2 linked regions of the Oryctolagus cuniculus genome follow. The protein of the gene in region 1 interacts with the protein of each later gene in a pairwise test. Links are inferred from orthologs where the notes say so. Each region holds a gene or a part of one and is shown in the gene's direction. Other genes may lie near its edges.

Region 1 (10,119 bases):
CCTTTCCTGAAAATCTCCCCAGAAAAAACCAGAGAGACACTTGCCTTTGAGGACGTTGGAGGCGACGAGGAAAACATGGGTCGCAAGGCCACTCTGAATGGAGTTTAACTGCTCCTGAGCCCTGGTACTGTCTCCCCTTTCCCAAGCTCCCGTTCCGGCAGTCGACGTGGTCCTCCGAGGGCGCAATTGAGTCGCGGAGGCCGACGGGTCCCGGGGAGGGATGTTCCAGCCCGCGGCCACTCGGTGGTAGAGACCGCAGCGGCCTGGCTTCCGGGGGCCGCCATGTTGGAATCTCAGAGTCCCAGCCATGGCTTCCAGGATCGGAATCCGAGCGAGAGCCCGACCGCCTCCGCCGTGCCCATGTTGGAAGTGCGGCCAGGGCTGTACCTGGGTGGAGCCGCGGCCGTGGCGGAGCCGGACCACCTCAGAGAGGCGGGGATCACGGCCATCCTGACGGTGGACTCGGAGGAGCCCGGGTTCAAGGCGGGGGCTGGGGTCGAGGGTCTGCGGAGCCTCTTCGTGCCGGCGCTAGATAAACCCGAGACTGACTTGCTCAGCCACCTGGATCGGTGCGTGGCCTTCATCGGCCAGGCCCGCTCTGAGGGCCGTGCAGTGTTGGTGCACTGGTGAGTGGACGGGTAGGGGGGTGGAGAGGAGCCTGACTTTGCTCCCAGCCTGCTCCTTGTCACTCCGAGGCCCCTAGGGGAGGGGACCCCCTCCCACTCCCTCCCGCAGGGGTGTGTGTTCCAGGGGGAGGGAGGGGCAGGAGCAGGAGGCGGGCCACTGCTGGCGCGCGTGCTTTCCTTCTTTCATGCTTTGGTTCATTCAGTAGCAACTGAATTGTTTTGGGGTGGTTGGATGGGAGGAGTCATCAGATGAATGACAAAGTCCCTACAGCCTCAAGCTTTTACAGCTCCTTAGGAGGCAAAACACCCACCCCAATGATTGTAACACAACCTAGGATAGAGTATGTGCTCAGGTTAAGTATTCAGACTTCAGAGGAACGGCAGATCATTTCTAATTGTTTTTGTGTGAGGTGTGTGTGGGGGCAGGGTGCTCATGAAGGGGAGAATTGGTTAGGATCTGAAGGATCCCCTGGGCCTTGCCTAGGGGAGAGTTGGGGTGGGTAAGTTGCAGCAAAAGCAAAAAGATAAATTCTTGATGGATATTTGGGTATCCCTAGGTAGCGCTGTTTGGATTGGGTTGCAGTAGTTTTAAATTTATTGAGTAACTATTGTGTGTCAACCACTTGTTCTCAATATTTACACAAAGAAAGGAAGGTAGTTAAAAAACTGGGTCCTGGGGTCGGCGTTGTAGCATAGTGGGTTAGGCTTCTACCTGCTGCGTGGGCATCCCATGTGGACGCCGGTTCAAATCCCGGCTGCTCCTCTCCAATCCAGCTTTCTGCTATGGCCTGGGAAAGCAGTAGAAGGTGGCCCAAATGCTTGGGCCCTTACATCCCCATGGGAGACCCAGAAGAGGCTCCTAGCTTCGGATTGGCCCAGCTCCAGCCTTTGCGGCCATTTGGGGAGTGAACCAGTGGATGGAAGACCACATTGTGTCTGTGCCCCTCTCTCTCTCTCTCTCTCTCTCTCTCTCTCTCTCTCTCTCTCTCTCTCATTCTACGTCTCAAATAAATAAATAAACAAATTCTTTTTTTTTTTTAATTTTTATTTTTTTGACAGGCAGAGTAGACAGTGAGAGAGAGAGACAGAGAGAAAGGTCTTCCTTTTGCTGTTGGTTCACCCTCCAATGGCCACCGCGGCCAGTGCGCTGCAGCCTGTGCACCGCGCTGATCTGATGGCAGGAGCCAGGTGCTTCTCCTGGTCTCCCATGGGGTGCAGGGCCCAAGTGCTTGGGCCATCCTCCACTGCACTCCCTGGCCACAGCAGAGAGCTGGCCTGGAAGAGGGGCAACCGGGACAGAATCCGGCACCCCGACCGGGACTAGAACCCGGTGTGCCGGCGCCGCAAGGCGGAGGATTAGCCTAGTGAGCTGTGGTGCCGGCTTAAATTCTTTTTTTTTTTTTTAAATTGGATCCTGTTTGGTACCAGAGCTCCAGGCCCTTAATGCTAAGAGCAAAAGAATTTTCATTTGTTACAAAGGCTTCACAACATAAAAAAAAAAAAAAAAAAAAAAGAGTGATTAAGTTTGAATAGGTGAGATACATTCTCGTAGTTCAGAATTTAAAATGAAAAAGGAAATAGGAGCGGAAACACCAACATCCCACATGGAGTATCTGGGTTTGATTTCTTTCTGTTAACTCCAATTTCCTGCTAACACAGACCCTGGGAGGCTGCAGTGATGAACCAAGAAATTGGGTTCCTGGCACCCATGGGTTGTCCCAAATGGTGGAGGATAGAAGCTCTCTCTCTGCCTTTCAAAAATGATGATAACTTGTTCATACATTGGTAGTATTTCAGATGTAATGGGTTTATTTGAATAGAAGTAGAAATGAAGTGGATTGGAACTTTGCCATTAATAGAGGGGCTGGATTTTTTTTTTTAATTGTTGCTATTTGCTTATTTTATTTTGAAGGCTTCTTTTTCAGTCATGCAGGAGTCAGTCGAAGTGTGGCGATAGTGACAGCTTTTGTGATGAAGACTGACAAGCTTAGCTTTGAAGAAGCCTACGAGAACCTCCAGACCATCAAACCAGAGGCTAAGTGAGTTCTTCATTGTAATATTGCTGCTTTTGGGATGTAGCTTTATTTAAAGAATTGTGGCTTTTATATTTCTTTGTCATTTCAGGATGAACGAAGGGTTTGAGTGGCAACTGAAATTATACCAGGCAATGGGATATGAAGTGGATACCTCTAGTGCGATTTATAAGCAATATCGTTTACAAAAGGTTACAGAGAAGTATCCAGGTAAGTAACCTTAATTGCCAGTGTATGCAGAGTGCTTTCCTGATGTCCTTTACCCTGACACTTACCAGAGACCTGTGGATCAGAGACCCTTGCTTCTAGCAAGAAGAGAATTTCAGACATGCTGCGGAGAGTAGTAGTAAGCAAGGGAGCAAAGTTTAGTGATGGGAGTACACCTGACAGGCCAGGTGGGCATTGCAGCGAAGGACTGAGCGCCGTCTGCCTTAGGTGGGAGTTCTGCGTACGGAGCGATCATTTCTTCTCCCTCCTTCCTCTTCTGGAACACTGGTGGGTGGAGGGCTTCCCGGGCATGGAATTTGTGACGATCCTCCTAGGACTTTATCAGCACCATGTAATTGGATCTAAAATTTTCCTGGGGCAGAGTGGAGAAGATTCTCCTAAGTAGTAACCGTCCTGGGAGGGCTGGAACCCACCTAACAAGGTTATCGTGCTAGTCTGCTTCTGAGGCATGTTTCTACATTTCTCCCCTCATTCAACAACAGGAAATTCACATTTTTGTTCTTCAGTCTCTCTCTCATCCTTAGGCTAATATCTGACTTCTTGCCCAACAACACTAAATACATTGTCCCATTTTTCTAGCAATCAGATGAGATAGGAATTGTTTTCTTTTGAAATTGCAGTTTAGCCAGAAATCTTATCCAGGGTCAGGTGGTTTGTAAATGGCAGGGTTGGGTTTGAACTCAAGCCAAGAGCTTAATCACTGTGCTTTGTAACTTCATCCTGATTTTCTGACACTATAATTTGTTTTTGTTTTGATTTCTGAGGTTAGCACTTGATTGTTCAGTTGACATTGTATCAGTCCATTTTCTGTTGCTATAAGAAAGTACCTGAGGTTGGGTACTTTGTAAACAAAAGAAGTTCATTTAGCTCACAGTTTTGAAGGTCCAAGAGCATGGTGCCAGCTTCTGCTTGGCTCTGGTGAGGGCCTTCTGACTCCATCAGGACCCAGAATTCACATGGTGGGAGTGTATGCGAGAAAGAAGGAACAATCACAGGTGAGATCAGCAGAAGAGCAATCGACTAGGAGCTCAGGCCTGCTCCTTTTATAATAATTTGTTCTTTGGGAGTGAACCAGGGTCTTGCAATAATTACATTAATCCTTTCCAAGAGCAGCGGCCACAGTGACCTAACAACCTCCTACTAGGTCTTACTTCTTAAAGGTTCCACCACCTCTCAACATTGTCACACTGGGAGCCAAGCTTCCAGCATGTGGACCATTGTGCGGAGTGGCCCAGGATGGCTGGATCAGAGGTCAAGAAAGACATGAGACAGAGAATAGCAGTAAGCATGCTAGTGAGGTTTAATGAAGAGAATACAATTGACAGTCCAGGTGGGGAACTCAGCAAAGAACTGAGAGCCCAGTCTGCAGGGAGACTGGGGCGGGGTCAGAGGGAATCTGTGAAATTCCTCCAGGGACTTCATTAGCACCCTTTACCGGACCTAATAGCCCTGGTATAGGGTGGGGAAGTGTTCCCTAGGATGCCCCTTTGGGGGAGGGCTGGGAGCCACCTAATAAGGCTGTTGGACCTGGGCAAGACTTTTGTTGCACAAATGCTGGTCTGCTTCGAAGGCATGCTTCTGCCTTCCCTCATTCAACCACATGAAATTCTCATTTTTGTTCTTCAGCCCCTCAATGCACATAGACTAATGTCTAACTTCCCACCTAACGGAACACAAGCTATATCCCAAACACAGTAAACACAAACAGAATTTTATCTGAAAATACCAAGCTGATAATAACAAATGGATGCGTTTTAATTGTGTCATAGAATTGCAGAGTTTACCTCAAGAACTCTTTGCTGTTGACCCAACCACTGTTTCACAAGGACTGAAAGATGAAGTTCTCTACAAGTGTAGAAAGTGCAGGTAAAATATTTTGTGTTCTCAGTAGCTGAAAAGGACGTAGCATATCATTTTCTTATATCTCTGTAGGAAGAATTTGTTGAATTGAATAATACAGAAATTTCTAGTTCAAATTTGTTTTTAAGAATTAAGTTTTAAAAACACCAAATTGTAGAGGTTATTGAAAATTTAAGTATAATCGATGTTGTGTTATTTTGGCCTTGAAGAAATACTGTACATTTTATCTATTTTAAAAATCCTTTTGAGCCGGCGCCGTGGCTCAATAGGCTAATCCTCCACCTTGCGGCGCCGGCACACCGGGTTCTAGTCCCGGTTGGGGCGCCGGATTCTGTCCCGGTTGCCCCTCTTCCAGGCCAGCTCTCTGCTATGGCCAGGGAGTGCAGTGGAGGATGGCCCAGGTGCTTGGGCCCTGCACCCCATGGGAGACCAGGAAAAGCACCTGGCTCCTGGCTCCTGCCAGGATCAGCGCGGTGCGCCGGCTGCAGCGGCGGCCATTGGAGGGTGAACCAACGGCAAAGGAAGACCTTTCTCTCTCTGTCTCTCTCTCTCACTGTCCACTCTGCCTGTCAAAAAAAAAAAAAAAAAAAAAAAAAAAAAAAAAATCCTTTTGATTAATATGTTTGTTTGGGAATTGCAGGCGATCCTTATTTCGAAGTTCAAGTATTTTGGGTCACAGTGAAGGAAGTGGACCTATAGCTTTTGCCCACAAGAGAATGGCACCATCATTCATGCTTGCCACAGGGACTCAGTGTACATCTTATTTCATTGAACCTGTACAGTGGATGGAATCTGCTTTGTTGGGAGTGATGGATGGGCAGGTCAGAATACATTTCTTATTTTTTCTACAATTTCATTGTACAATCTGTATTTTCTTCCTTTTTGTATTTTAACTAGTGTTTTATTCCATCTTAATCCCTTTCTTTTATGAAGATTATATTTTTCTAGTGTGGATCAGACTGTCAAAAATAAATATTTTTAAAGATCAGCTGATTTTAAATGGTAGTTGAGAGTTGCTACTCTAAGTTAATAAGTTTCTTTTAAGTCTATTTATATTTTTCAAATATAAAACAAATATTACTTTAAAACAAATTAATATCTTATAAAATTTGAACTTTGTAACAAGTAGGTTACCTCAGGAATTTTTAAATTTGGTTTAAAATGTCTTCCCTTTCTTTTTCTTTCTTAATTCCATGCATTTCTCTCTTTTTCTGATCTTTCAATTTAGTATGTTTGTTACGAGATTCTTTTTCATTTCCTGTCCAAGAATACAACTCATAACATCCTGTGACAGCCACTTTTTTCTTTAGGTTTAAGTTTTTGATATTAATATGCAGGCATTCTATAGAAATAATTTTAATAGTGATTTTAAAAGTTTGTAGAAAAGTTTTTATAATGGATATTTATTGAAACTCTTATTCCATGTCATTGGAATAAAATGGCTTTATAAAGGTGGTAGAACAGATACAGTCATACTTTATATGTGGGGAAACTTCATTTATTTACTGAGTATTTTACTTAAAAACAGTATCCTATATTCAAATGCACATTTTCAGATTTTGTTACTTTTTAAAAAAACAGCTTTGTTAAAGTATAACTCACATACCATACAGTTCACCAATTTAGAATAATGAATTCAACAGCTTTTAGTATATTCACAGTTTTTTGCAACTGTCGCTATTCTCATGACCCTTAAAATGATATATCCATTAGCGTTCATTTCCCATTCTTGATGATCGTATTTACAGTGATTGTTTCAGATTTTGGTGAACTGTAATATTGCTCTTTGGTGACTTATGCTTTTGGCTTGCTGCTTTCATTTAACCTGGAAAATATACAAACACATGATATTTTTGTGAAAGATTCTAAACCCTATTTGTGCGTATTTCTTTGTATACATATTTGAGTTTTCTTATATGGTATACACTTAGAAGTAAATTGTTGGCTTTATGACTGTATACATTTTAAATATTAATCATATTCCAGGCTGACATTCAAAATGCTCATACAAATTTAGTTTTCACCAACAGTGAATATCTACCCATTTCCTCATACCCTGGGCAAGTTATATATAAAACTGGTGAAGTTTTGTCAGTCTGTATCATGAAAATATTAATCTTACGTTTTTCATGACTACAGCCGAGGATGACATCTTTGCATTTACCAGCCATCTATAGTTGCTTTTTATTTATTTATTTATTCGAAAGTCAGAGTTACACAGAGAGAGGAGAGGCAGAGAGAGTGAGAGAGAGAGAAAGAGTGGTCTTCTATCTGATGGTTCACTCCCCAGATGGCCGCAATGGCCGGAACTGCACCTATCCGAAGCCAGGAGCCAGGAGCTTCTTCCTGGTCTCCCACTCGGGCACAGGGGCCCAAGGACTTGGGCCATCTTCCACTGCTTTCCCAGGCCACAGAGCTGCATCAGAAGAGGAATAGCTGGGACTAGAATTGATGCCCATATGGGATGCCGGGGCTCCAGGCCAGGGCGTTAACCCGCTCAGCCACAGCGCCGATCCCCCCCCGCCCCATCTATAGTTTCTTGTTGTGTAAACTGCTTTACCATCCCTGGCCTATTTTCTATGAATTTTCTTACTCTTACTGATTTGTAGGAGCTGTGTATATATTCTAGATGTAGATGCTTCATTTAATAAATAGAATTATTTTCCCTAGTCTATTACTTATCTCAAATTTTTGGTATATTTTGTAATAAAATTTAAGATACTGTGTAGTCTATTTTTTCATTTGTGGTTTCTGGGCTTTAAATCTGGACTTCCTGTAGTTTAATATTAAAAGCAAAAATTCCTACTTCCTACCATGTACAAATTATAGAACTAAACCTAAAAAATGTGATAACTGCACTGAAAGAAAATACAGTTTACTAAAGCTTTGATTTATCTGTTTTACTGGAATATCAGTTGATTGTTTTTAAGTCACTAGGAATCTGACTTACATGCTATCATTATCAGTAATAAAACATGAGAATCCTAATAATCTTTTCCATTCTTTATTCATGTTGTAGTTTTTTTTTTTTTGAGATTTTATTTATTTATTTGAGATGTAGAGTTACTGACGGAGAGGGAGAGATAGAGAGAAAGGTCTTCCATCTGCTGGTTCATTCCCCAAATAGCCACAGCAATCGGAGCTGGGCTGATCAAAAGCCAGGAGCTTCTTCCAGATCTCCCATGCAGGTGCAGGGGCCTGAGTACTTGGGCCATCTTCTATTGCTTTCCCAGACCATAGCAGAAAGCTGGATTGGAAGAGGAGCAGCTGGAACTAGAACCAAAAGAGAGAGATCTTTCATCCATTTGTCTACTCCCCAAATACCTGCAACAGCTAGGGCTGGGCCAAGACCCCAGAATCCAATTTGGATCTCCCACATGAGTGGCAGGGACCCAATTACTTGAGCCATCACCTGCCTTCTAGGGTACCCATAACAGGAAGCTGGAATTGGAAGCAGAGGTGGCACTCAAAACAGGCACTCTGATGAGATGTGGCTGTTCTAAGTGATGTCTTAACCACTGTGTCAGGTGCCTGCCCCTACACGTTGATTTAAAAACCTAGTATGTATGCCACATTCTTGAAGCCATCCTTGAGTTTCAAATGTCACCTTTCTCCCCTAAAGCTGGGATCCATCTGTTCTTCCTCTAAGCTGCCCGAGTACAACATACTTCTTAGGCAGTAATTGTAGTCCACCATCTATAATACAGCAAATTCCTCATGTATTTAATGTCACCAATTAGAGTACAAACTCCTTGAAGATAGGGGCCATGTTTGCCTGTGCTTATATCCTATATTGCCAAAGAAAATTATTTGTTTTGTATAAAAGTGAATAAATGAAGTAATACATTGGCTTTTTATTTCAGCTGCTTTGTCCAAAATGCAGTGCCAAATTGGGTTCCTTCAATTGGTATGGTGAACAGTGCTCATGTGGAAGATGGATAACACCTGCTTTCCAAATACATAAGAACAGAGTGGATGAAAAGAAAATGCTGCCAGTTTTGGGATCACAAACAAGAAAAATATGAACTTGTGACATCTGCTATCTTGGAAGGAACCTTGCTGAAGATACATGCTGCCCCGGCTTTCAGTTACTCACTGCAGGTTGTCTAGTTTGTAGGCCATCAACATTTCAATTGCAGTGTGAAAGGGAAAAATCCCATGAAGTAACCTAGAAACTGCCCTGTTATTAGGTTATTACGTGATGTAAGTAGAATACATAGCAATCAAAGTTTTTTAGTCATATAAATTTTATATGATAGTAAAATCTTTTATGATACTAACACTTCATTTGTTTCATGTTTTTAAAAGTCATGATTTATTTATTTAATTTGAAAGGCAGACAGAGACAAAGATCTCCCATCTGTTGGTTTATTCTCCAGATGCTTGCAGTTTCTGGAACTGGGCCAAGCCTAATCCAAGAGCCAGAAACTCAATCCATGTCTCCCATATTAGTGGCAGAATCGTCACCTGCTGCTTTAGCCTACATTTGCAGGAAGATGGAATAGGAAGTGGAGCTAGAACTCAAACTGAGGCGCTCTGATACGGGATGGGGGAGGTCTCCTATGGCATCTTAACCACTATGCCAAATGCTGCCCTGAAACTTAATTCCAGTTTTCCATGAGTTTTTTGAAGTACCCTCGTATTTTGAAATTTTGCTTTCTCTCTTTTAAGGGAAATTAGTAAGCCTATTTATGTCTAGATTTTTCTTGTAAATGTAAAAGAAAGGCTATTAGTAAAACAGAATATGTTTTTCTTGTTCAGAAATTCCAATTATCTGCAGGTTTTTTTTTTTTTTTTCTTAAGTTTATTTATTTGAAAGGCAGAGTAAAACAGTGAAAGATAGAGATCTTCCATCTGCTGGTTCATGCTTCAAATGCCTATAGCAGCTGAGGCTGGGCCAGGATGAAGCAAGGTGCCTGAAACTCCATCTGGGTCTCCAGCATGGGTAGCAGGGACCCAAGGACTTGAACCAGCACGTGCTGTGCATGAGCAGGAAGCTGGAAGTAGAAGCATAGCCAGGACTCATCCAGGCATTGATACAGGATGGGTAGCTTAACCTACTGTGCCACCGTGCCCACTCCAATAAACATTTTATCTACATTTTTAGAAAAGTGTGTTTGAGATACCTCTTAAAGCAATCTACATAAAGAAATACTTTAATGTTAGATGTGTCTTAATAATCAAGATTAATGTGGAATTACATGTCAGTTACTCTTTTAGTCTAATACATTTGAGTATTGGAAAAAGTAATAAATCTAGATCAACTTTGTAACCTGATTTCTGGAAACTAGAATTGTACTCACTATTAATAGGGCAAATTGGACCTAATTTGGTATTTTGAACATATACATGAAATCAGAATTAGCTAATAA
Region 2 (10,798 bases), on another chromosome or scaffold:
GCACCGCAGGCAGAGGATTAGCCTAGTGAGCCGCAGCGTCAGCCAAAATGCCTTTTTTTTTTTTTAATTTATTTATTTGAATGGCAGAGCTAGATAGAGAGAGCACGAGATGTCTTCTACCCATTGGCTCACTTCCCAAATGGCAACAATGGCAGAAGTTGGCCCAATCTGAAGCCAGGAGCCAGGAGTTTCTACTGGGTCTCCCATTTGGGTGCAACTCTTTGGGCCATCTTCCACTGCTTTCCTGGGCCATAGCAGAGAGCTGGATTGGAAGAGGAGCAGCTGGGACTCCAACCTGTACCCATATGGGATGCCAGCACTGCAGCCAGCAGCTTTATCTACTGCATCATAGTGCTGGCCCTCCAAGTGCCTTCTTATGACAGCATAAAGAATGACATAAAATGGTATCTCATAACATCATGAAAAGGAAAGAAGATAAAATGCCATCCCAGGGTGTTATAAACAATGACATAAAATAAAACATCAGGGCCGGCACTGTGGTGCAATGGGTTAATGCCCCGGCCTGAAGTGCCGGCATCCCATATGGGCGCTGGTTCGAGACCCGGCTGCTCCACTTCCTGTCCAGCTCTCTGCTATGGCCCGGGATAGCAGTAGAAGATGGCCCAAGTCCTTGGGCCCCTGCACCCACGTGGGAGACTGGGAAGAAGCCCCTGGCTCCTGGCTTCGGATTGGCGTAGGTCCGGTTGTTGCGGCCAATTGGGGAGTGAACCATCAGATGGAAGACCTTTCTCTTTCTCTGCCTCTCCTCTCTCTGTGTAACTCTTTCAAATAAATAAATCTTAAAAAATAAAATAAAATAGAATAAAATATCATCATGTGACATCATAAACAATGACCTAAATGCCATTCCATGTTATAAAGAATGACATGTTATCCTATACTATAATAAAATGACATAAGCCAAAATATCTTCCTATGACATAATAAAAATAACATGAAATACAATGCCATAGTGTAACATAATAAAAATTAAAACCATCCCATGGCATAAAAATAAAATAAAAAATGTCATCCCACGACATCATAAGCAATGACATAAAATGCCATCCCATGTCATAAACAATATGATTAAAAATGCCATCCCATGACATCATAAAAATAACATAAAATACAACAAAAATGAAACGCAATGAAATAGAATAACCACATAACTTAATAAAAGTGAAATAAAATAAAGTAAAAGGAAATCATATAGCATAGCATAATATAACATGAAATGAAATAATGAAATAAAAAAGGAAATAAAATAATATACCAGAACATAGTATGATAGAAAATAAAACAAAATACCATTCCACAACATAATAAAAAATAAAATACAATAAAATAACATAGCATAACATAGTATAAAATAAAAAATAACATGAAAGAAAATGCCATGGCATAAGATCATAAAAACTAAAATAGCATCCCATCCCATAATAAAAAATAAAATAGCATGTAATATCAGACCATAACATCATAAAAAATAAAATACCATATTATAAAAACTAAAATACCATTCTATCCCGACATATAAAATATCATCCATGTCATAAGAATGACATAAAATGCCATCCCATGATTTAATCCAAATGAAATAAAATACCATGAAGTCATAAACAATGACATAAAATAAACTGACATCCCATGATGTCACAGCACCCAACCCTCTGGGCAGTACTGGCTGTGGCCGGCCCTCCTGGGAGCAGTGGGCGGAGCTTCCCCACCTGGCCCCACCTCTTGCACTCACCCAGGTGAGGAGGCCTCTCCAGGGAGGGTGCCATGGGAATGTCCTTGCAGGGGGGCCCCCTGCACTCCCCTAGAAGTCCAAGCAAGTGAACCTGTGATTGAGAGCTTCTCAGCCATGTGTCAATCACTTCTGACAGGCACCTGTCACTTTATTTTTATTTACATTATTCTTTTTAAATTTTTTATTTGACAGGCAGAGTTAGACAGTGAAAGACAGAGAGAAAGGTCTTCCATTGGTTCACTCCCCAAATGGCCACCACAGCCGGCGTGCTGCGCCGATCCAAAGCCAGGAGCCAGGTGCTTCCTCCTGGTCTCCCATGCGGGTGCGGGGGCCCAAGCACTTGGGCCATCTCCACTGCCTTCCCAGGCCACAACAGAGAGTTGGACTGGTAAAGGAGCAACCAGGACTAGAACCCAGCACCCATATGGGATGCTGGCGCCGCAGGTGGAGGATTAACCAAGTGAGCCACGGCGCCAGCACATATTCTAATTATCTTAATTTATTTTTTATCTTATTTCATTTCTTTTTTATCTTAAATTTATTTTATTCCATTTATATTGTATTTACTTCATTTAATTTTATTTAATTATATCTCATTTAATCTGATTTCATTTCATTCTATCTCATTTATTTCCTTTTATACCATTTTATAATTTTCTTATTTTATTTCATTTATTCAACTTTATTATGTTATATACCATTTTATTCATTTATTGCATTATTTATAACTTATTGTATTTATTTTATTCTATTTTTATCTCATTGTATTTCATTTATATAATTTTATTTATACATAAATATTTAAAGATTTATTTGTTTGAGAGGTAGAATCAGAGAGAGAGAGAGAAGTCTTCTATCCACTGGTTCACTCCCTAAATGACAGCAATGGGCCAGAGCTGAGCTGATCTGAAGCCAGCAGCCAGGAGATTCTTCTGGGTCTCCCTCGTAGGTGCAGGGGCCCAAGGACTTGGGCCATCTTCCACTGCTTTCCCAGGTCATAGCAGAGAGTTGGACTGGAAGAGGAGCAGCCAGCCTGGAACAGGCGCCCATATGGGATGCTGGCACTGCAGGTTGGGGCTTTAACCTGCTGCGCCACAGCACCTGCCCCCATTTATGTTGTTTTAACTCATTTTATTTTATTTTACTGAATTTCATTTAATTAATTTACCTCAATACATTTATTTTGTTTTATTCCATTTCTTTTTACTTCATTTTATTGCATTTACTTCATTTCATTTAATTTCATGTATTCCCTTTCATCGTATTTATTTATTTCACTTCATTTTAATTTATTGCATGGATTTGTTTACCCAGAGCCACTGGATACACACTGAATTTTTCTGGAAGCTTTGTGTTTTGATTGGCAAGTGTTGAGCCCTGGGGAGCAGACTGGGTCCCTCCTCAAAAATCAGCTGTAGACAAAAAATTATTCAAGAAAATAATTTTTTCTCTAAAAAATTAAAGTATATATAAATACTGTATGCAAAATTCAAACCATATGCAAATCCTAATTCAAAACACATTAATATCAAACTATATGCAAATCATGCAGGTAAAAACCCAAACTATATGTGAATAACGTATGCAAAAAAGTATATGCAAATCCTATATGAAAAACCAACTACATGCAAATATTATGTCCAAAAAATCACATACTACCTTTGAAAAAAGTATCAAAAATTCAAATTAGATGCAAATACTTAATCAACGATACACCTAACAATCAAATCATATAAAAAATCAAATTATATACAAATCATGTATGGAAAAAATAGAACATGCAAATTCTGTATACAAAAAGTCAAAATATATGCAAATATGTCCCCAGATGCATACAATTAACTATATATAAAATTTGTATTCAAAAATGCATGCAAAATTCAAATCATATGGAAATATTGCCTGCAAAAAATGCATCCAAAAATTAAATTATATAAAAACATCAAATTATATGCAAATACTGTGTCCAAAAAATGCATCAACACATCAAACTGTAAGCAAACAGTGAATCCAAAAAATGCATTCAAAAATAAGTTTATACGCAAATGACTGCACAACATGCCTGAAATAAACTACGTGCAAATCCAGCTGCTCTCCTTTGCCTTCTGGGACACCTGCAGCCGGCAGCGGAAATCCACGAGGGTACCTGCCTTCCTTCTCTCCCTCCTCTTCCCCGTTTCTCATCCCAGAAAGCCGCAGCAAAAATCCCTGATTGACAAGGATTCGTGTGGCAGTTTTCAAGAGTATTTTTTTTTTTTAATTTTTTTTCAAAAAGTCCCAGGGAGGAGCAGAGCTTAATCCGGAAGCGCGTGGGCGGATTCGCCGCGCTGTCAATCACTAGGCGGCGCGAACTCGGCACCCGCCCGCTTCGCCCACGCTGCAGGGGCGCGCTCTGGGACTCTGCCCGCCAGCTCCAAGCTTTAACAGACTCCCCGGGCTCGGATCTAGGGGTCTCCGCCGGCGGCCCTGACTTCCAATGCCGGGCCCAAGGTTTCATCGTCACTCACTGCTGGGCCAGGTCTTTAGTGGACCCCAATTCATTTTAAAATCCAAGTAGTTTGAAATCCTACTACACATAAGCCGCCTTACTGGCGCAGTCCCGGGGACACACACTGCGCATGCAACTAACCATAGTCTTTCAAATCCTGCGCGCTAGCCTAGCTGCACATCGCGCATGCTCACTCCTATGCCCGCTCTCGCCCAGGTGTTCCCCTTCTCAGCGGATCGCATCGCGCATGCGCCAACGAGCAGCCCGGTTTCCCTTCGGAGCCTTGCTTCAGCAGCACGTTCTGCGCACGCGCAACCCCACAACAGCGTCCTTCCTGGACGTACTGTGCACGCTCCTGCGGCACCCCCTCAGAACACCTCAGGTATCCCAAAAAGCCATGAGAGCTGGGATGCCGGTCGCTTCCTAAGCCTCCGGGACATTCCCGTTAGCTTCAAGTAATGGCAAATGGGGCTAAGAAGTGAGACACAGGAAGGGAAAAAAAAAGCGTCGCGGCCCTGTGACGTCAGGCAAGTGGAAGCCGTGACGCGCGTCGCCGCTGGTTCGGGGCAGCCGCGAGTTCGGAGCGCGCGGTCCTTGGTTTTGTGAGGGAAGAACGGCGGCGGCCGTCATGTCGCCGGGTAAGACGCTCCAGCCCGTGCTGAAAATGAAGGTGGACGAGCTCTTCCTGCGGTGGCTGAGCGAGGACGCAACGCAGCGGCTGCTCCACGAGTGCCTGCGCGCAGTCCAGGCCCCTCAAGGCGCTCCCAACGTGGCCGTCTCCGCGGATGCCGCGATGCCTGCGCCCGCCCCGGGAGGACCCGGACCCCCTGCCGCTCCTGCCGCCCCTGGACCCCGGCCCGAACCTCACAGCCGCAGAACCCGCAGACCCGCTGTTCGCAGAGGCGGGCGCGGCTGCGCGGAGGTAAGGCCTAAGAGGAGGGTGTGCCCTGATCAGGTGGGCGTGGCCTTTGAGGGGCGTGAGCGGGCTCTGTGGGAGAGTGAGCCTGGCCTTCACGGATGAGCGTGGCCTGTTTATGTTGGGTGGACTGGCGTGGCCTCTCTGAGAAGTAACCCCGAGAACCAATACTGCTTTGGAGGCTGCAGGACCATTTTGGGCGTTGGCCACATTGGGTGGTAGAGAGGAGGGGGTGGCAGGAGCCTAAGTCGGGGGTGGGGGCGGACAGGGGCTTCATCCGTGGAGCGAATTCCCGTGCGCGTGGCGTGTTGTGTTGGGTGTGGCCCGTGGCTGTGGGCTGGTGAGGGGCTTGGAGGAAGAGAGGTTCCCTGAGTTCACCGGGGCCAGACCCCAGTGTTTTCCTTCGGGTGTGTGGGGGGGCGGTTCTACAGCAAGGGGCACTGTTTAACAGTTGCTTCGCCCCTGCGCCAGAACCTTAACCCCTAAAAGAGGAGGTTCTATCCCAAGTTGTGGGTCCCTGGAGATTTTTTAATTCCTTAAAAGAGCCATCCTTGCTAAGAAGTGATTTTTTTTTTGTTTTTGAAAGCTGGAGTGCCTGGTGATGGACAGATGTCACTCATATCAGGGTTGGCTGTGGGGACTCATGAGAAGGAAGCAGAGATGCTGAGTTGTCACTCATGGAGCAGGGAATCATGGGAAGGGATGCTGAGCTGTCACTCATGGAGCAGGGAATCATGGGAAGGGAATGGAGGCGCTGACCTGTCACTGATCATAGGCTCATGGAAAGCAGCAGACACTGAGCTGTCATGGAGCAGGGGTTTACCTGCTACTTCCAGCCCCGCCTCTGCCCCTCCCCTAGATGGGTTTCTGGGGTCTCTGGCCAAACGCAGGTATCCTAGGCCCAGCCATGGATAGCCAGGGTGTTGGGGTCAGCTGCTCTGTGCAGCCTGTGGGCTGAGGGCTAGGCTAGGCTGTCCCTTTGGCTGTTGATCGCAGGCTGATCTGGGCTGTCAATTAACCTTCTTGGGTTTGGAGTTTATCCCAAAGGCTGTGGGTGGGTCTTTCCTATCCCTGCTGTCTGTCAGCCTAAGTGGTATGAGGATGATGAGGACTATGTGTCTGAGGAAGATGAAGAGGGGGCCGTGACCACTGCTGGGTCTCTTCGCAGGGCCCACTGATTGTGGTTCTTGGAAGTGGGTTCTGGCCCTGGCCCTGTTGCAGGGATTATGGACAGCTGTCAATCATTGCCTGTCTGATATGGAGTGGCAGGTTCCCAGGTGGATGCTGTGGGGCCAGCAATGGGCTCCTGGCAAGAGGGGGTGGGGCAGCTGTCCATCAAATCTACTTTCTGTGGAGGTAGGGCCCCATCCACCGATAGCCCTGGACGCTCAGGGACAGCCAAAGGCAGGGTCAGCACAGCACGGGGTGGCTCTGCATTCCAGTTCTCACTGCCCAGGCTCAGCAGGGGAGGGGCTTGATGTGGGACTAGGGTCTCTGGCCCTGCTATGAGATTGAGAGTTCCCAGGCTGGAGTGACTGGTCTCAGGTGGATTGGCGGGTCCCAGTTTGGCCCCAACAGCTCTTGGCTAGAGTGACAGGTCCTGGGCAGGAATGACAGTTCTAGGGATGGAGTGGCAGTCCGTGGGCAGTCGTGGGCAGTGATGGTCAGTGCTCAGCAGCTCAACAGGGGTGGCTGGGGCAGGTCGCTGGCCACTAATGCCCCCTTCATCCATCCCCCACAGGTGCAGACGTGGCCGGAGCTGCAGGGAACTCCAGGACTCTCGGTGGGTGGGATCCCCACCTTCTACTTCCCGCGCGGCCGCCCAGTGGGTCCTGTCAGCAAGGATGGGGCCATACGTGCCGTGGAGACTGCGTTTGCCCTGCTCCCACTGCAGCGCGCCCGCCTGGAGGACATGGGCAATGTGGCCAAGGTTGGTGCCAGGGATGGGGCGGGGGCTGGGCTTGTGGTGCTGGAGATTGGGCTGGAGGCCAAGGGCGGGGCCTGCGAGACCTGGATGTGACCAAGGTGGGTGCTGGCCTGGGGATGGGACAGCCTGTGCCCTCCCTGTGGCTGGGTCGCTTTTGTCACTGCTGACCAGAGTGGCATTGCCTGTGCCCTCTCTGTTGCCGGGCCCTTCCTTCACATCTCTGCTGTCTGACAGCATGAGTGACACAGCCTCTGCCCTCCCTGTGTCTGGATCCTTCTTCTCCCTGGTATCTGGTTCCTTCCTTTCGCTGTTGTCTGTCGCTGTGAGTGGCACAGTCTGATCATTCCCTGTGACCAGGCCCTTCCAGTCGTTGCTGTCTGTCACCCTCATTGGCAATCTCAGTAACTGCCTGGTGGTGTTCCAGGCCTGTGGCTGCCCTTTGTACTGGAAGGGACCCTTATTCTACCGGGCTGGGGGCCGCCGCGGGGGATCCGTGTCTGTGCATACCTTCGTGGCCATGTGGCGCAGGTGAGTCCCAGGCATGCAGGGTAAGCAGGACAGGGGGCGGGCCTTGGGGATCCTACACCTGCTGGGCAGGAGAGTGTAAGGGGGGTGGGGCAGGGCAGGGCTTCCTCCAGGGGGAGTCCTGGGCAGGCCCTGCCTCCCCAGCTGCAGTAGCCAGAGGAGACCCTGGCTCTGCCTCCCACATGTGATTGGCAGAGGGGACCCAGGCCCCACTCCCACCTCCTGGGGACGGGGCTCCGAACGATGCTGATGCTTCCAGAATCCTCCAGGACTGCCACGATGAGGAGGCCAGGTTCCTGCACCTGCTCGCTAGTCCTGGGTGCGACTTCTTGGAACAGGAGGATTTCGTCCCCTTCTTGCAGGTGAGCACCCTGCCCCTCCCCCAGTGGGAGGTACACACGTCACACCTATCAATCACAAACCTCATACCTTTCAGTCACAGCTGTCAGTCACAGGTTATACCGCATACTTGTCAATCAAGTCACACCTGTCAGAGGGGAGTTCGCACCTCACACCTGTCACAGGGATGTCTTCACCTCACACGTGTCACACACCTCACACCTGTCACTCACTTCCTGTGTCCCAGGATGTGGTAGAATCACACCCTGGCCTCGCCTTCCTCAAGGAGGCACCTGAGTTCCACTCCTGCTACATCACCACTGTGAGTACCCCTGACCCCAAACCCAGTGTGATACCCAAACCCTGCCTGTAACCCCTGACCTTGCAGTGACCCCTGACCCTGCCTGGGTCCCCGTCCTGGGCAGTAAGAGGAATACACCTGGGTATAAGTTCGACTGTGCTGGTCAGAGTCACCCTGTGAGTGGCAGCTCCTTGTGAGTGGCGGCTCCTCCCGCCCTCTGTGAGTGGCAGCTCCTCCCTCCCTCCCCTGTGACAGCTCCTCCCTCCCCTGTGGCTCCGCCCCTTATGGGGGCAGGTCTCTCGGGCCATCTGCTCACTGCTGCCCTGGACTCAGGTGAGAGGATGCCCTCAGGTGAGGACAGATGAGAGGACACTCAGGTGAGCACAGGTGAGGATGTCTGCCAGCCACTGCCAACACGCCACTGCTGGTCCCGCCCCCTGCTAGCCCCAGCCCCACCCCATCTGCCCCGCAGGTCATCCAGCGGATCTTCTACGCTGTCAACAGGTCCTGGTCCGGGCGCATCAGCTACAATGAACTCAGGAGGAGCCACTTCCTGCAGGTGGGGGAAGTGGGAACCACCTACCATGATGGGAGACCCCGCCTCCTGGGAAAGGAGTCCCTGCTCCCAGGACAGGAGACCCTACCCCCAAAGAAGATTCCACCCTTAGGACAGGAGACCCTAGTTCCCCACCCAGCAGGAAAACCCACCCTCCACAACCTGAGGTCCTGAGCCCCACCTCGTTCCCATCCTGAAGCCCCGCTCCCCGCAGGTTGTGGCGCGGCTGGAGGAGGAGGCGGACCTGAGCCTGACAAGCGGGCTCTTCTGCTATGAGCACGTCTATGTCATCTACTGTACCTTCCGTGAGCTTGACACTGACTGCGACCTCCTGCTGGGCAACTGTGACCTGGCCCGGCACCGCGACCACGGTCGGGGACCCCAGGGACCCCAAGACCCCTTCCCAGGGACCCCCCCCATGCCGACCCCAGCCTCCTGCCCTGCCCTCTGCATGGCTCACAGGCCCTGCCTCTTCTTCCACAGCCATCTCCGACAAGATGATTGACAGGATATTTTCAGGTGCTGTCATGCGGTAGGTGGGGTCCCCGGCGGGGGAGTAGAGGTGATGCCATCGTGTTGAGGGATGACATGGGTGATGACATCACAGATGATGGCATCACAGGTATTCATCACACCAGATTGGGGCAGTGTGGACAGCACTGGAGGGGGACTCAGGGCCAGCACAGGACTCCTTGGGTTCCCCATGTGGGGCTGGACAGGGATACCCCCAGCTGGGAGTGGCCCATGCTGAACCTGCCTGTGTGTCTGCTGGCTACTGCTGACCACAGGGACAGGACGGCACAGAGAGCAGGGAAGATGAGCTACGAGGACTTTGTGTGGTTCCTGCTCTCCGAGGAGGACAAGACCACGCCCACCAGGTGGGTCTGAGGGCCCCCCTTGCAGGCGGATAGTGGATGACGCTGGACACCATGGGCTCACTCCTCGGCCCAGGGTGTGGTCTGGGTCAGGAAAGTGGTCAGCTTGGGTTCTGTGAAGTCAGCAGTGTCCATGGTGTGGCCAGTGGTAACTTTGGGGTTAGTATGGTCAGCAGTGCCCACTTGGTCAGCTCAGGGGATCAGTGAGCAGAATCTTTTGGGTGATCAGTGGTCACATTGCTGTCAGTGTGGTCAGCAGCATGGTCAGGGATCACTCCACGGTTAGTGTGGTCAGCGGCTGACTGCCATCTCCCTTGACAAGGCAGCATTGAGTACTAGTTCTGAATGGACCTGGGTGGGGACTGTGTCCCTAGTGTGGTCAGTGGTCACTCTGGGGTCAACATAGTTTATTCCCCTACTGACTGCCACCTACCCAACTGGGCAGCATCGAGTACTGGTTCCGCTGTATGGACCTAGATGGGGACGGGGCACTGTCTGCCTTTGAGCTTGAGTTCTTCTATGAGGAGCAGAGCCGCCGACTACGCAGCCTGGACGTCGAACCACTGCCCTTCCCAGACTGCCTCTGCCAGATGCTGGACCTGGTTCGGCCAAGGACCCAGGGTAGAGACCCGCCCCTTCCCTTCCCAGCCCCCACCATGGAGGTCCCTTCCCTTGCTGGCCCTGCCCCCTCCCCATCTCCAGGGTCCTCAGTGGCTGAGATCCACTTACCAGGTCCCAGCTGTTTGCCCACAGGGTCTGGAGGGCGTTGCTGGCGAGTGGTCCTGCAGTCCCCTCTGGCCATGGCCAAGGCGTCTGGGTTATCCCCCTCCACCACGTCCATCCCAGCATCCAGGCCTCCTGTGCCCCTGCTGCCCAGCACCTGCCTGCATCGTTTACTCTGATTTCTCTGAGGCCTCTCTGGGTCCACATGTACATCCCCCACGTCTGGCCCTGGCCCTGGCCCTGGTGTCCAACCCCACATCCATGCCCTTGCATCCACCCCCATAGGCCGCATCACGCTGGGCGATCTGAAGCGGTGCCGGCTGCTGGCGCCCATTTTCTTTGACACCTTCTTCAACGTGGACAAGTACCTGGACCGTGAACAGCACGAGCAGTTG

Evidence for each region. The genes of interacting proteins can lie anywhere in the genome.
Region 2: the proteins of DUSP12 (region 1) and serine/threonine-protein phosphatase 2A regulatory subunit B'' subunit beta interact in binary tests that used the Homo sapiens proteins (3 or more experiments, as listed by UniProt). The two-hybrid records come from large-scale screens. The link is inferred for Oryctolagus cuniculus from reciprocal best matches to the Homo sapiens genes DUSP12 and PPP2R3B.

Annotation. Positions count from the first base shown.
Region 1 is NC_091438.1:37,037,923-37,048,041, reverse strand, and holds the start of DUSP12 (dual specificity protein phosphatase 12), read left to right. Parts: upstream 1-240; 5' UTR 241-282; coding exon 283-626; intron 627-2,551; coding exon 2,552-2,665; intron 2,666-2,750; coding exon 2,751-2,869; intron 2,870-4,656; coding exon 4,657-4,753; intron 4,754-5,387; coding exon 5,388-5,568; intron 5,569-8,610; coding exon 8,611-8,772; 3' UTR 8,773-10,119. UniProt on the Homo sapiens protein: Dual specificity phosphatase; can dephosphorylate both phosphotyrosine and phosphoserine or phosphothreonine residues. Can dephosphorylate glucokinase (in vitro).
Region 2 is NC_091447.1:3,601,871-3,612,668, forward strand, and holds the start of serine/threonine-protein phosphatase 2A regulatory subunit B'' subunit beta, read left to right. Parts: upstream 1-4,869; coding exon 4,870-5,163; exon of another isoform or gene 5,164-6,898; coding exon 6,899-7,087; intron 7,088-7,508; coding exon 7,509-7,612; exon of another isoform or gene 7,613-7,868; coding exon 7,869-7,971; exon of another isoform or gene 7,972-8,195; coding exon 8,196-8,270; exon of another isoform or gene 8,271-8,504; coding exon 8,505-8,626; exon of another isoform or gene 8,627-8,721; coding exon of another isoform or gene 8,722-8,753; coding exon 8,754-8,808; exon of another isoform or gene 8,809-9,019; coding exon 9,020-9,176; exon of another isoform or gene 9,177-9,288; coding exon 9,289-9,337; exon of another isoform or gene 9,338-9,593; coding exon 9,594-9,683; exon of another isoform or gene 9,684-10,125; coding exon 10,126-10,301; exon of another isoform or gene 10,302-10,688; coding exon 10,689-10,798. UniProt on the Homo sapiens protein: The B regulatory subunit might modulate substrate selectivity and catalytic activity, and might also direct the localization of the catalytic enzyme to a particular subcellular compartment.